Linked DNA regions of Nothobranchius furzeri. The protein of the gene in region 3 interacts with the protein of the main gene of each other region in a biochemical or structural test. Links are inferred from orthologs where the notes say so. Each region holds a gene or a part of one and is shown on either strand. Other genes may lie near its edges.

What was found.
Region 1: of the proteins of lats2 (region 3) and amot, one has a biochemical effect on the other in vitro, tested with the Homo sapiens proteins (3 studies listed by BioGRID). The link is inferred for Nothobranchius furzeri from reciprocal best matches to the Homo sapiens genes LATS2 and AMOT.
Region 2: the proteins of lats2 (region 3) and mob1bb form a complex in vitro, tested with the Homo sapiens proteins (2 studies listed by BioGRID). The link is inferred for Nothobranchius furzeri from reciprocal best matches to the Homo sapiens genes LATS2 and MOB1B.

What each region holds. Positions count from the first base shown.
Region 1 is NC_091750.1:44,155,704-44,158,972, forward strand, and holds part of amot (angiomotin), read right to left. Parts: intron 2,417-3,269; coding exon 2,288-2,416; intron 1,804-2,287; coding exon 1,565-1,803; intron 1,219-1,564; coding exon 937-1,218; intron 1-936.
Region 2 is NC_091746.1:66,457,818-66,461,475, forward strand, and holds part of mob1bb (MOB kinase activator 1B), read right to left. Parts: intron 1,614-3,658; coding exon 1,480-1,613; intron 1-1,479. UniProt on the Homo sapiens protein: Activator of LATS1/2 in the Hippo signaling pathway which plays a pivotal role in organ size control and tumor suppression by restricting proliferation and promoting apoptosis.
Region 3 is NC_091754.1:33,294,094-33,297,465, forward strand, and holds part of lats2 (serine/threonine-protein kinase LATS2), read right to left. Parts: intron 3,187-3,372; exon of another isoform or gene 3,061-3,186; intron 2,668-3,060; coding exon 2,535-2,667; intron 2,433-2,534; coding exon 850-2,432; intron 734-849; coding exon 506-733; intron 417-505; coding exon 62-416; intron 1-61. UniProt on the Homo sapiens protein: Negative regulator of YAP1 in the Hippo signaling pathway that plays a pivotal role in organ size control and tumor suppression by restricting proliferation and promoting apoptosis.

The DNA.
Region 1 (3,269 bases), on a different chromosome or scaffold from region 3:
TCCCTACTGAGAACCACACCTCCATGCTGCAGCAGCGTTCAGTCAGAACAGGAAGTGAAACTTAAACGTAGCTGCTGTCAGTAACAATCTAACAGATTTTAAACATTAAAACTCAACAGAAACAGTTCAGAAAGGAAATTTCACAACTTTGTGTGTGATTTATTATTATTATTATTATTATTATTTATTGTGGCAGAAGCTGGTGTGGTCCACCACAGAGAAGCTGCTCTAGCATGATGACCTTAATTATTCTACAGGTTATTGTTCAGCCTTCTGATGCTCACACACACACACGCACACGCACACGCACACGCACGCACACACGCACACACACACACACACACGCACGCTGACGCTCCGTGTGTATTTTTATTTCTGCCGTGAGACAAACTCACCTCACACCATCCAGAGTTTGTTCTTTAAAGCTTCTATTAAATCCACCGTGTTGATGTATTTTAACACGTTTCCTCTACGCTGCAGGAGTTAAAGTTTACATCACGGAGTAAAAGTTCGGCAGACGCATTTGTTTATATCTGGGTTGGAGGGAGGGGGGGACTCGGTGCTGCACACAGACAGCTGGTGTGATCAGCTCTGAAAAGTGTTGATCACAATTTGCAGATCACGTTTATTTTTCACTGAAATCGGCCGCGGATTCCTCTTCCGTCGGCATTCTAGGAATCAAAACTAGGAATCGAAATAAAACTTTGAACGATTCCAGGAAAAACTAACTGTTGGTCCCGGTTCAAATCGATGCTCGGTGCCCAACCCTGTTTAGTAAAGTATGTTTTGTTTTAGTAAAGTGATTTTAGGAAAAGTTCATTTTAGAAGTTTTGTTTAGAAATTTTTACTTTAGTAAAGTGCGTTTTGTTTTTAGTAAAGCGAATTTGGTAAAGTTTGCTTTGTAAGGTGAGAGTAAAGTGGCTTGGCATTCTTCACCTTGTAGCATCCTGTGTAATTCCGATGGAGTGAGCTGACCTGCTAAGCGATCAGGGATGTAAACCGGGCTGGGGCTGGACAGGCGGGCTGGCAGCGTCATACTCTGCAGGACTGGAGTGTTGGGCTTGCTGGTGTCCTGGCATTGACCCTTGTCGGTCTGTGTGCAGCTATCCCTACTGCCAGTCTTAGAGTGGCCTGTGATCATCGAGGTGGAAGACAGTATGGGAGAAGGGGAAGATGAGATCGACTCTGTCCTCAGAGACTCTGGACCCAAAAGAACCCCTGGAAAACCAAGAAAACAAGATCTCATCAAAAAGCAAGGACATCTTCTGCTTCATGTATTTAGGCACTTCTAAAAATGCTCATCTTTCTTATTTTTGCAACAATTGTGATTTTTATGAAACACTGTACTCCTTCATGAAGTTAGGATATTGATGACAAAGGAGTTCCAGTGTTTAGTTTGGGAATGATTTGTTTGAAAGTAGGTAAAAACAGAAGCACAGAATGTCTGTAGTGGTACTCTATGACAACAGAGTACTTTGTTCTGGGTTTGTTTACGTTTCTGACGTCTGATTTACAAAGAAGTTAATCCTCAGCACAAAAAGAAAAAAAACAGACAGGTCTGTACCCAGACTGCCCTTCCAGCTTGTGTCTTTGCGTTCTTCAGTGATCGGGGAGCTGCTGAGTCCAAGGCTGTGAGACAGTAACCCTGACCCACCAGAGCCAGTGTTAGAGATGGACATCAGAGACTTAGATGGTCTCATTGCAGATGGTGCATCTGACTTGGTGGGCTCTTTTCTGGAGCGCTGGTGGAGAACTTTGATCATGGCGTCCTTCTCAATGATCTGTGCATGGAGATTCTTTATCCTGGAGGATATAAGAACAGAATACAGCTTTAGCTCCCTTAATCGAGAGAAATTGAGTGTGCAAGTCAGCACTAATCCCACCTGCTTCTTTAATTAACAGGTTCAGCAATAGGCAACAACCTTAACCCCGACCCAAGGTAACAGGAACCTTTACAGCTATACAGTGACACCATGTGACCCTTCTCTCTGCATTTCCATCAGAGAGGAGAGGTTTCTCTGCTGCGGTTAACAGTTTCCAGACAATGCTCTCAGCTGGTTAACACTGGTAATGTAACCATGAGTCCGAGTTAGGAAAACTTCTGTGGTTCTGGTGGTCCATCCATCAGTAGTCTGAGCTATGTGGTGTTTCACAAAAGTCTTTGACTCATCACTCCTGCAGTTAAAGTTCAGGAGCGACGACGCCTCAGCGGTCAGGGTGAGGGGAGCCTGCACGTCATGTACATGTGAATGAAGACAGAAGTGCACACAGTGAATGTGGCTCTAACCTGCTCTCCATGTCCAGGCAGCGACGATTAGCCATGAGGATCTCCTCTTCCTCCTTCTGGATGCGAGCTTCCAGCGACGTGTCGTAGCTGCTGCTTGGTGAGTGGTTTATTCCTGCTGCAGAAGCATCCCTGCACAACAAAGGTCAAAGTTCACGTCAACAGAACGGCGGCTTCCAGTCATCAGGTGAGTTTTACCATGTCTCTCACTCTAGTCCATATACATAGACCAGGAGTCTCCTGCCTTGTTGTACCTTTGAAAATAGTCTTTGCACATGGGACATGGGGACTGTGTCCACATGTACACCAATGAGGATAATGTGCATTTCAGTCTGTGGAGGAAATGTGTGGAACAGGGCTGATGAGGAATTAAAAAGCTGTGTAATTATAAATCAACTAAAATATTTTATTAAAAGAATCATTAATGCAGGAGTACATGTGATGGGCCGTATTTCTGCATGATCTGGTGAGCGAGTTAGTGTTATGTGTGACATGGAGGACACCTTAAGTATACAAATATTTATATGGGTGTTTTTATTGGATGAGGCATCTGGGGGGTAGGATTTAATGAGCACATCATAATTTTCCTGTCATTTCCTGATTAGATCTGTTATTAATTATTTAATAATAATAATAAAATAATAAATAATATAATTAATATTTTTTATGTCTGAAATGAAGATGTCATTCATTCATTCACCAGCACAATTTACTCCTCAAAACATTCCGTTCAGGCACAAGAAGTGTAAATTATTACTTGTATTACATGTGGGGTTACCATGGTAATGTAACATTTTCATTGAGAACAACGTGAAATTCCTCCCGCCTTACACAGACTGTGCTGTTCCTATGACGCTGGTCAGAAGATTCGATTGATGTGGGACTACAACAACATACTCAGCAGCTTTTGGATATTATAATCGGTTTCAGTCTAGTGGGGATTTTTGGCTCATTTGAGATTTTGTAATGAGATGCGATCTTTCAC
Region 2 (3,658 bases), on a different chromosome or scaffold from region 3:
GAGTTTTTGGCTATATAGCAATACCACAATAACACATGACGTCACTAAAGGCCTTTTCAGATTGACATTCCGGAATATGTGTGGACAATTCAGTCCAGTTTTTAACCAGAACTGTGTTTTCAGACACACCACTTTTGTACCGGAACTTGTTGTTTCGGCTGCCTTCACACAGCAGGGAAAAGTTCCAGATGTCTGAGGGGGAGGGGGATCGGACTTATGTTAAGCATAATTCTGCGCACACGAAGACGCATAAGACCTAGATGATGGCGCTCAATGGTTAAAGGAATCACGGAAGCGGTGTGAAGCGCTCCGTCGCGCGTCTAGACGGTACCGTAGGAGGCGAGCTGCCATGGTACGCCGCATGCTACAGGAGCGAGCTATCTAGGAGCGCACAGCGTCCCCCGGTCCCCTCCTCCTCCCTGTCCGGAACTCGACCTCACCAGTCTGAAGCAGCCACCTTGTCCGTGACAAGTCCGGACCTGTTACTAGGGGCATCGTCCGGTTTAATTAAGGAAAACGTTTTCCGGATGTTTGTATTCAGACACAAAGGTCTTACGGACAGAGTCCGGAACATTTCAGTTTTTCATGGCCTGTCTGAAAGGGGCTTAAGATGTGCACCCTGCTGACACTGGGGCAACAGAATGGCAGTGACTGCAAGCATGGAGTGGGTGGAAGAGGAGGTCTAGATGCCTCAAGTGGCATATATTTGCCACATGAGGATATTTAAAAGCATGTCATTTTGACATAAATAAACATATATCGCAATATATATCGTTCCCGCACATGCTTCAGATTATATTGCAATAGAGATTTGAGGCCATATGGCCCAGCCCTACAAACAACGTTCATTATTTACACACCAGAAGCTCCTGGAATGGTAGAAGTTTTAGAACGTGTTGCTTTGCTAACAGAATGCTCCAACAAACGTAGGAAACCTTTAAGCTGTGGATGTTAAATAAAGATATACACGCTTCTCTAACGCATGCACATTTAGTTCTCCCACTGATATGTAGAGCGCTCCATCAGCCAGACATCTGTTTGTGCTCCACCCTGAACAGCACATGCCTCAGCTAGCATCTATGTTAAGCCTTTATCATGTCTGCGATTCTGCACATAGTTAAGCAGCCACTTCCAAGTGTGTTCGATCCCTATTTAACATATCTTTAAAAATGTAACTGATCTTTTTTAAAGAACAAAAAAATGCATGATTGTTTTTGTGCAAAACTAGGCGGTAAAGAGGGATGAGGTCTGAGAGACGAGCGGGAGAGAGAATGTCATGGGCAAATAAAAACCTGTCACAAATCTATGGTACATTACAATTCCATGTGACTCCAACCAAAATGTACTTTTGTCTCAATGTTGTGTTTCCAGCGAGGCGTCAGCTTTCAGCTCAGTTAGACAATGGTCTAATGGTAAACTCAAACGATGCACAAAAACAGTCTTTTTAGGGCTGATTAGAAACCAGGCAGTAAATCCTACCGATCTTTGAAGGGAAAAGTGTTTCGTCATCAAGTTGGTCTTGCACCCAGGTCATGAGGTAATCAATATACTTTGGAGCTGAGCATTTAATGGGCTTCTTGATATTAGTTCCATCGGCCCAGTGGTACTCATACCTACAGGAAACATAGAAACCATAAGGACAGATATGATTAGGGCTGCACAATATATAGAATTATATCACAATAGCAAAACTTCAAGGGCTTCCAATAAATCTCAGGGCCAAACTGTAGGTAAAATGAGATGAACCCACACCACCGTAAATGCCCACAGCCTACACACACAAAGTAATCTGGTCTACAGGTCCTTCTCAAAGAATTAGCATATTGTGATAAAGTTCATTATTGTCTGTAATTACTGATAAACATTAAACTTTCATATATATTAGATTCATTACACACAACTGAAGTAGTTCAAGCCTTTTATTGTTTCTAATACTGATGATTTTGGCATACAGCTCATGAAAACCCAAAATTCCTATCTCAAAAAATTAGCATATTTCATCCGACCAATAAAAGAAAAGTGTTTTTAATACAAAAAAAGTCAACCTTGAAATAATTATGTTCAGTTATGCACTCAATACTTGGTGGGGAATCCTTTTGCAGAAATGACTGCTTCAGTGCGGCGTGGCATGGAGGCAATCAGCCTGTGGCACTGCTGAGGTGTTCTGGAGGCCCAGGATGCTTCGATAGCGGCCTTAAGCTCATCCAGAGTGTTGGGTCTTGCGTCTCTCAACTTTCTCTTCCCAGTATCCCGCAGATTCTCTACGGGGTTCAGGTCAGGGGAGTTGGCAGGCCAATTGAGCACAGTAGTACCATGGTCAGTAAACCATTTACCAGTGGTGTTGGCACTGTGAGCAGGTGCCAGGTGGTGCTGAAAAATGAAATCTTCATCTCCATAAAGCTTTTCAGCAGATGGAAGCATGAAGTAGCTAGCTGCATTGACCCTGCCCTTGATAAAACACAGTGGACCAACACCAGCAGCTGACATGGCACCCCAGACATCACTGACTGTGGGTACTTAACACTGGACTTCAGGCATCTTGGCATTTCCCTCTGCCCAGTCTTCCTCCAGACTCTGGCACCTTGATTTCTGAATGACATGCAACATTTGCTTTCATCCGTAAAAAGTACTTTGGACCACTGAGCAACAGTCCAGTGCTGCTTCTCTGTAGCCCAGGTCAGGCGCTCCTGCCGCTGTTTCTGGTTCAAAAGTGGCTTGACCTGGGGAATGCGGCACCTGTAGCCCATTTCCTGCACACCCCTGTATACGGTGGCTCTGGATATTTCCACTCCAGACTCGGTCCACTGCTTCCGCAGGTCCCCCAAGGTCTGGAATCGGTCCTTCTCCACAATCTTCCTCAGGGTCCTGTCACCTCTTCTTGTTGTGCAGCGTTTTCTGCCACACTATTTCCTTCCCACAGACTTCCCACTGAGGTGCCTTGATACAGCACTCTGGGAACAGCCTATTCGTTCAGAAATTTCTTTCTGTGTCTTACCCTCTTGCTTGAGGGTGTCAATGATGGCCTTCTGGACAGCAGTCAGGTCGGCAGTCTTACCCATGATTGCGGTTTTGAGTAATGAACCAGGCTGGGAGTTTTTAAAAGCCTCGGGAATCTTTTGCAGGTGTTAGAGTTAATTAGTTGATTCAGATGATTAGGTTAATAGCTCGTTTAGAGAACCTTTTCATGATATGCTACTTTGTTGAGGTAGGAATTTGGGGTTTTCATGAGCTGTATGCCAAAATCATCAATTTTAGAAACAATAAAATGCTAAAACTACTTCAGTTGTGTGTGATGAATCTAATATATATGAAAGTCTAATGTTTATCTAGCCTAGTGAACTAGACCAAATTCTTGCTTTGCAAAGAATGGTCTAGGCATGCTCCATTGGAACCTCAGCAGCTCCTACCAGGACTCTGGCTAGCCAATCACAACTCTCTAGAGGGGTTTCAAACACATAAAGAGCTGTGATTGGTCCATAATGGTGGGCCAATCCTAGTGCTCTATCTGCTTAGTGAACAAATCACAGGGCTTTATCCGCTTTGTGGGCCAATCAGGGCACTCTATATGCCTGGTGGGTGGGATGATGCAACAGAGTGAAACAAGAGTATGTCACATTCATTGTCCAGTAGCATGCGGAGATCATTTGAAAAACAACGG
Region 3 (3,372 bases):
CGTTGTCCCTGCGTGCTCGTTTAAACAAAACCAAATCTCACGTTCTCACTGCCTGCCTGACCTTTCTGGTAGTACTTGGAGTTGTGTGTCCAGCGGAAGCCTGTGCAGAGACCAAAATCAGTCAGCTTGATGTGCCCGTCCAGGTCGATGAGGATGTTGTCCGGCTTGATGTCGCGGTGGATGAAGCCCATCTTGTGGACGCTCTCGATGGCCAGCGTCAGCTCGGCCACATAGAAGCGTGCCAGAGGCTCAGGGAAGACCCCCATCCGGATGAGCAGACTCATCATGTCTCCTCCGGGGATGTAGTCCATCACAAAGTAGAGGCTGTCTCTGTCCTGGAATGAGTAGTAGAGACGCACCACCCACTCGTTATCTGCCTCTGCCAGGATGTCGCGCTCTGCTTTCACATGGGCCACCTGCACCAGAAACACTCGTTAGGACTTCTCTGATTGATGCTCACCAATCACTAATTCATCAGTAATAGAGTAAATGCATAATAAATCACCTGGTTGCGATTGAGGACATCTTTCTTGCGCAGTGTTTTCATGGCATAAAGTGCGCATGTGTCTACTTTACGCGTGAGGCACACTTCACCAAAAGCACCAATACCCAGAGTCTTGATTTTGACAAACATGGACTTGTCCATCTTGGCACGGCGCAGCCTGTTGTAGTTGGACTCTTTCTGGTTCAGCATCTTCCTCATCTGCTCCTGCTCTGCCTCCGACAGGCCAGCCTGGGCAGAGAAGAGGAGGGTCAAGCTGAAGCCAGTGGTCTGACCTGGGTTTGTCATTTTGTGCCAAAAACACGACTGAACTGGTTTTAAATGAGCAGTAAGCTCTGTTATCTTACCTTGGACATCTCTTGCTCCAGCTGAAGCCTGCGGTTGAGCTTCTGCTGGTAGGTCTTCATCACGTTCTCTATGTGCTGCTCCATGTAGAATTTGAAGGCGAAGGGGGAGTAGGATTTGATGCGAGACTCCCTCTTTTCTTCGTTCCGTCCGTTCTTTCTGACAGGCACAGGGGACGTCTGGATCTGCTTCTTGTCCTTCACCGTCTTCTCTCCCTTGCTGACCTTTGTCTTCTCTTTGAGCTGCTGGCCGTCTTCGGCCTTTCCACTCCCCCCGCTGCCACTGTGTGTGCTTCTGGTAGCGGGATTGCTCGGGTCTGGTGCACCTGCTCCCTCCAGGACCCCAGGCTCTCCAGCTGCTCCAGACATGAGCAGATTTTTCGGGTAAGGTGGAGGAGGACAGCGTGGCTCTTGTACAGGATCTAGTGGGTAGGTCTCCTCCGGCATGTAGGTCAGAGGTTCTGCTGCATCCTGGGCTTGAGCAGTCATCCAGGCAGGGTGGCACGGTCCCACTGCAGTCTTGGGCTCTGGTCTCATTACACGGATGCTCTTGACTGGCTGCTGGATAGGTGGGGAGGTTACAGCTGTGATGGTGTTTGGAGGGCCCAGTGAGGAGTCCTGTTTCCCAGCAGTGGGGGGTGCAGCCATCGTGGGTCGGACAGCGTTTGGACCTGCAGAACGACTGTTGAAGGAGTTAGTCCTGCTGGGCACACGTACTTCCCCCCGAAACGGGCCCTGGGGCTGGGCTTGCCTGGATGGAGGGGCCCCTTCAGGAACTGGAGGCCCCCCCCAATGATGGTCATACAGGTCTAGGTTGAGGCTGGCCCTGGAGGGGGTCATCTGGGCCAGATCTGAGAAGTCGGGGCCCAAAGCTGCCACTCCGCCCGGGGAGCGGGACATCATATGGACCGGGTGGGATGTGGGGCTGGCTTGTCGGGGGTGGGAGTGAGGAGAAAGGTACATGTTAGTGGGGTATCCACCTGCTCCTCCCCCCGGCCCATTCTGAACCATTCCCCCTTTCCCCTGCATGTTGATGTAGTTGTCTGGAGGGGCCATAGGTGGTGGCTGCATCTTGTTCTGGAAAGAAGGAGTCCTCTTGACTCCGTAGCCTGCAGGCTCCATCATGTGCTGCCTGGGATGGCCATAATCATAGTGTGGCCCTGGAACAGGGCCCCCTGGTGGCTGTGGCTGGAGCTGCAAAGGCTGGCCCGGGACGTTGTAGCTCATCATGGGCCCGTGCTGCTCCATGCTGCCAGGGTAGCCCTTCTGCTGAGCCCCTGGGGGGTACATGGTGCTACCCGGGTTGCCTTGGGTAGGCATCACAGGCGGATAGCTGCCCATGCTAGGGGGCCGACCCATTGGATTCCCTATTGCAGCACCCTGAGCTGCACTGGAAGGGGGCATCATGTAGTTCATAACAGGGGGGGCACCCATGTAAGGCCTGGTCATCTCCCCCTCAGGTCCATAACCTGCAACCCCGTCATACATGGAAGCCCCCATCTGGTGATAAGGAGGCATGGCACCTGCCTCACCTGGAACCTCTAAGGTGGGCCGATGGTCCATTGTGTTTTGCATCCCTGCTTTACCTGCAACATGGAAGGAGGTCACAGATGTCATGCTCAACAAAAACGTCTTCTCATCATCCAGTAAAAGCTGTAAATAATAAGCCACCAGCTGGGTGTTCATACCCGGCGACGTCTGTTTAATGACACGAACAATGAGCTCGTTGTGAGGGTCAAGGTAGCCCATTTTACTGATGTACTCCAACGCTGCTTCAATATTCCTGCTGCCCGTCTGCTTCAGCGCTCGCACCGCCATTTCCTAAAAAACACAAACATGCTGAAGTCCTAAACACAACAAAGCTAACAGAACCATCAATGAGGTCAATGATCACAACGCAGGTGATTTATTTAGATGTAATCACTCGGACAAAAACAATTAAAGGTGATCAAATACGGCAATATTTTACTTAAAGGGACTTTACGGAGTTTAGAATTTTTATGCTCGCGATTGCCCCCTCAGGCCAAAAGCGTAACGGCAGCTTCAATAGTAGGCTCGTGCACGAAGCGCGCATGCTGTACGTGCACACTCCTTAACGAAAATAACAGCTGAGACAGTCGTGTGTGTGTGTGTGTGTGTGTGTGTGTGTGTGTGTGTGTGGCCCGGAGGACAGGAGAACACGCAACTAATTAATTAAATAATTTGGTTCTGTACCTCTCTCTTCAGCACAGCCGACAAAGGTTTATGATGGGTCAGTCCTCCTGCATGCTCAGATCATTCCCTTCCCTTGCTTGAAGAATTGTTCCAAAATGAAAGTTGAACCCACATCTTTTTCATCTGTGAATTCAATGCCGTACGGCGAGTCTCAAATAAAAATTTGGGCATCTTACTGTAAAAAAATACACCATTAATGTAAAAAAAAAAAAACTCTAAATGAACTATGTTCACACCCAGAATTGAACCCAGGTCTTCTGCACGAGAGTCCGACGTCTTATTAGGTGAGCTAAAGCGCCAGTGACATCCTTT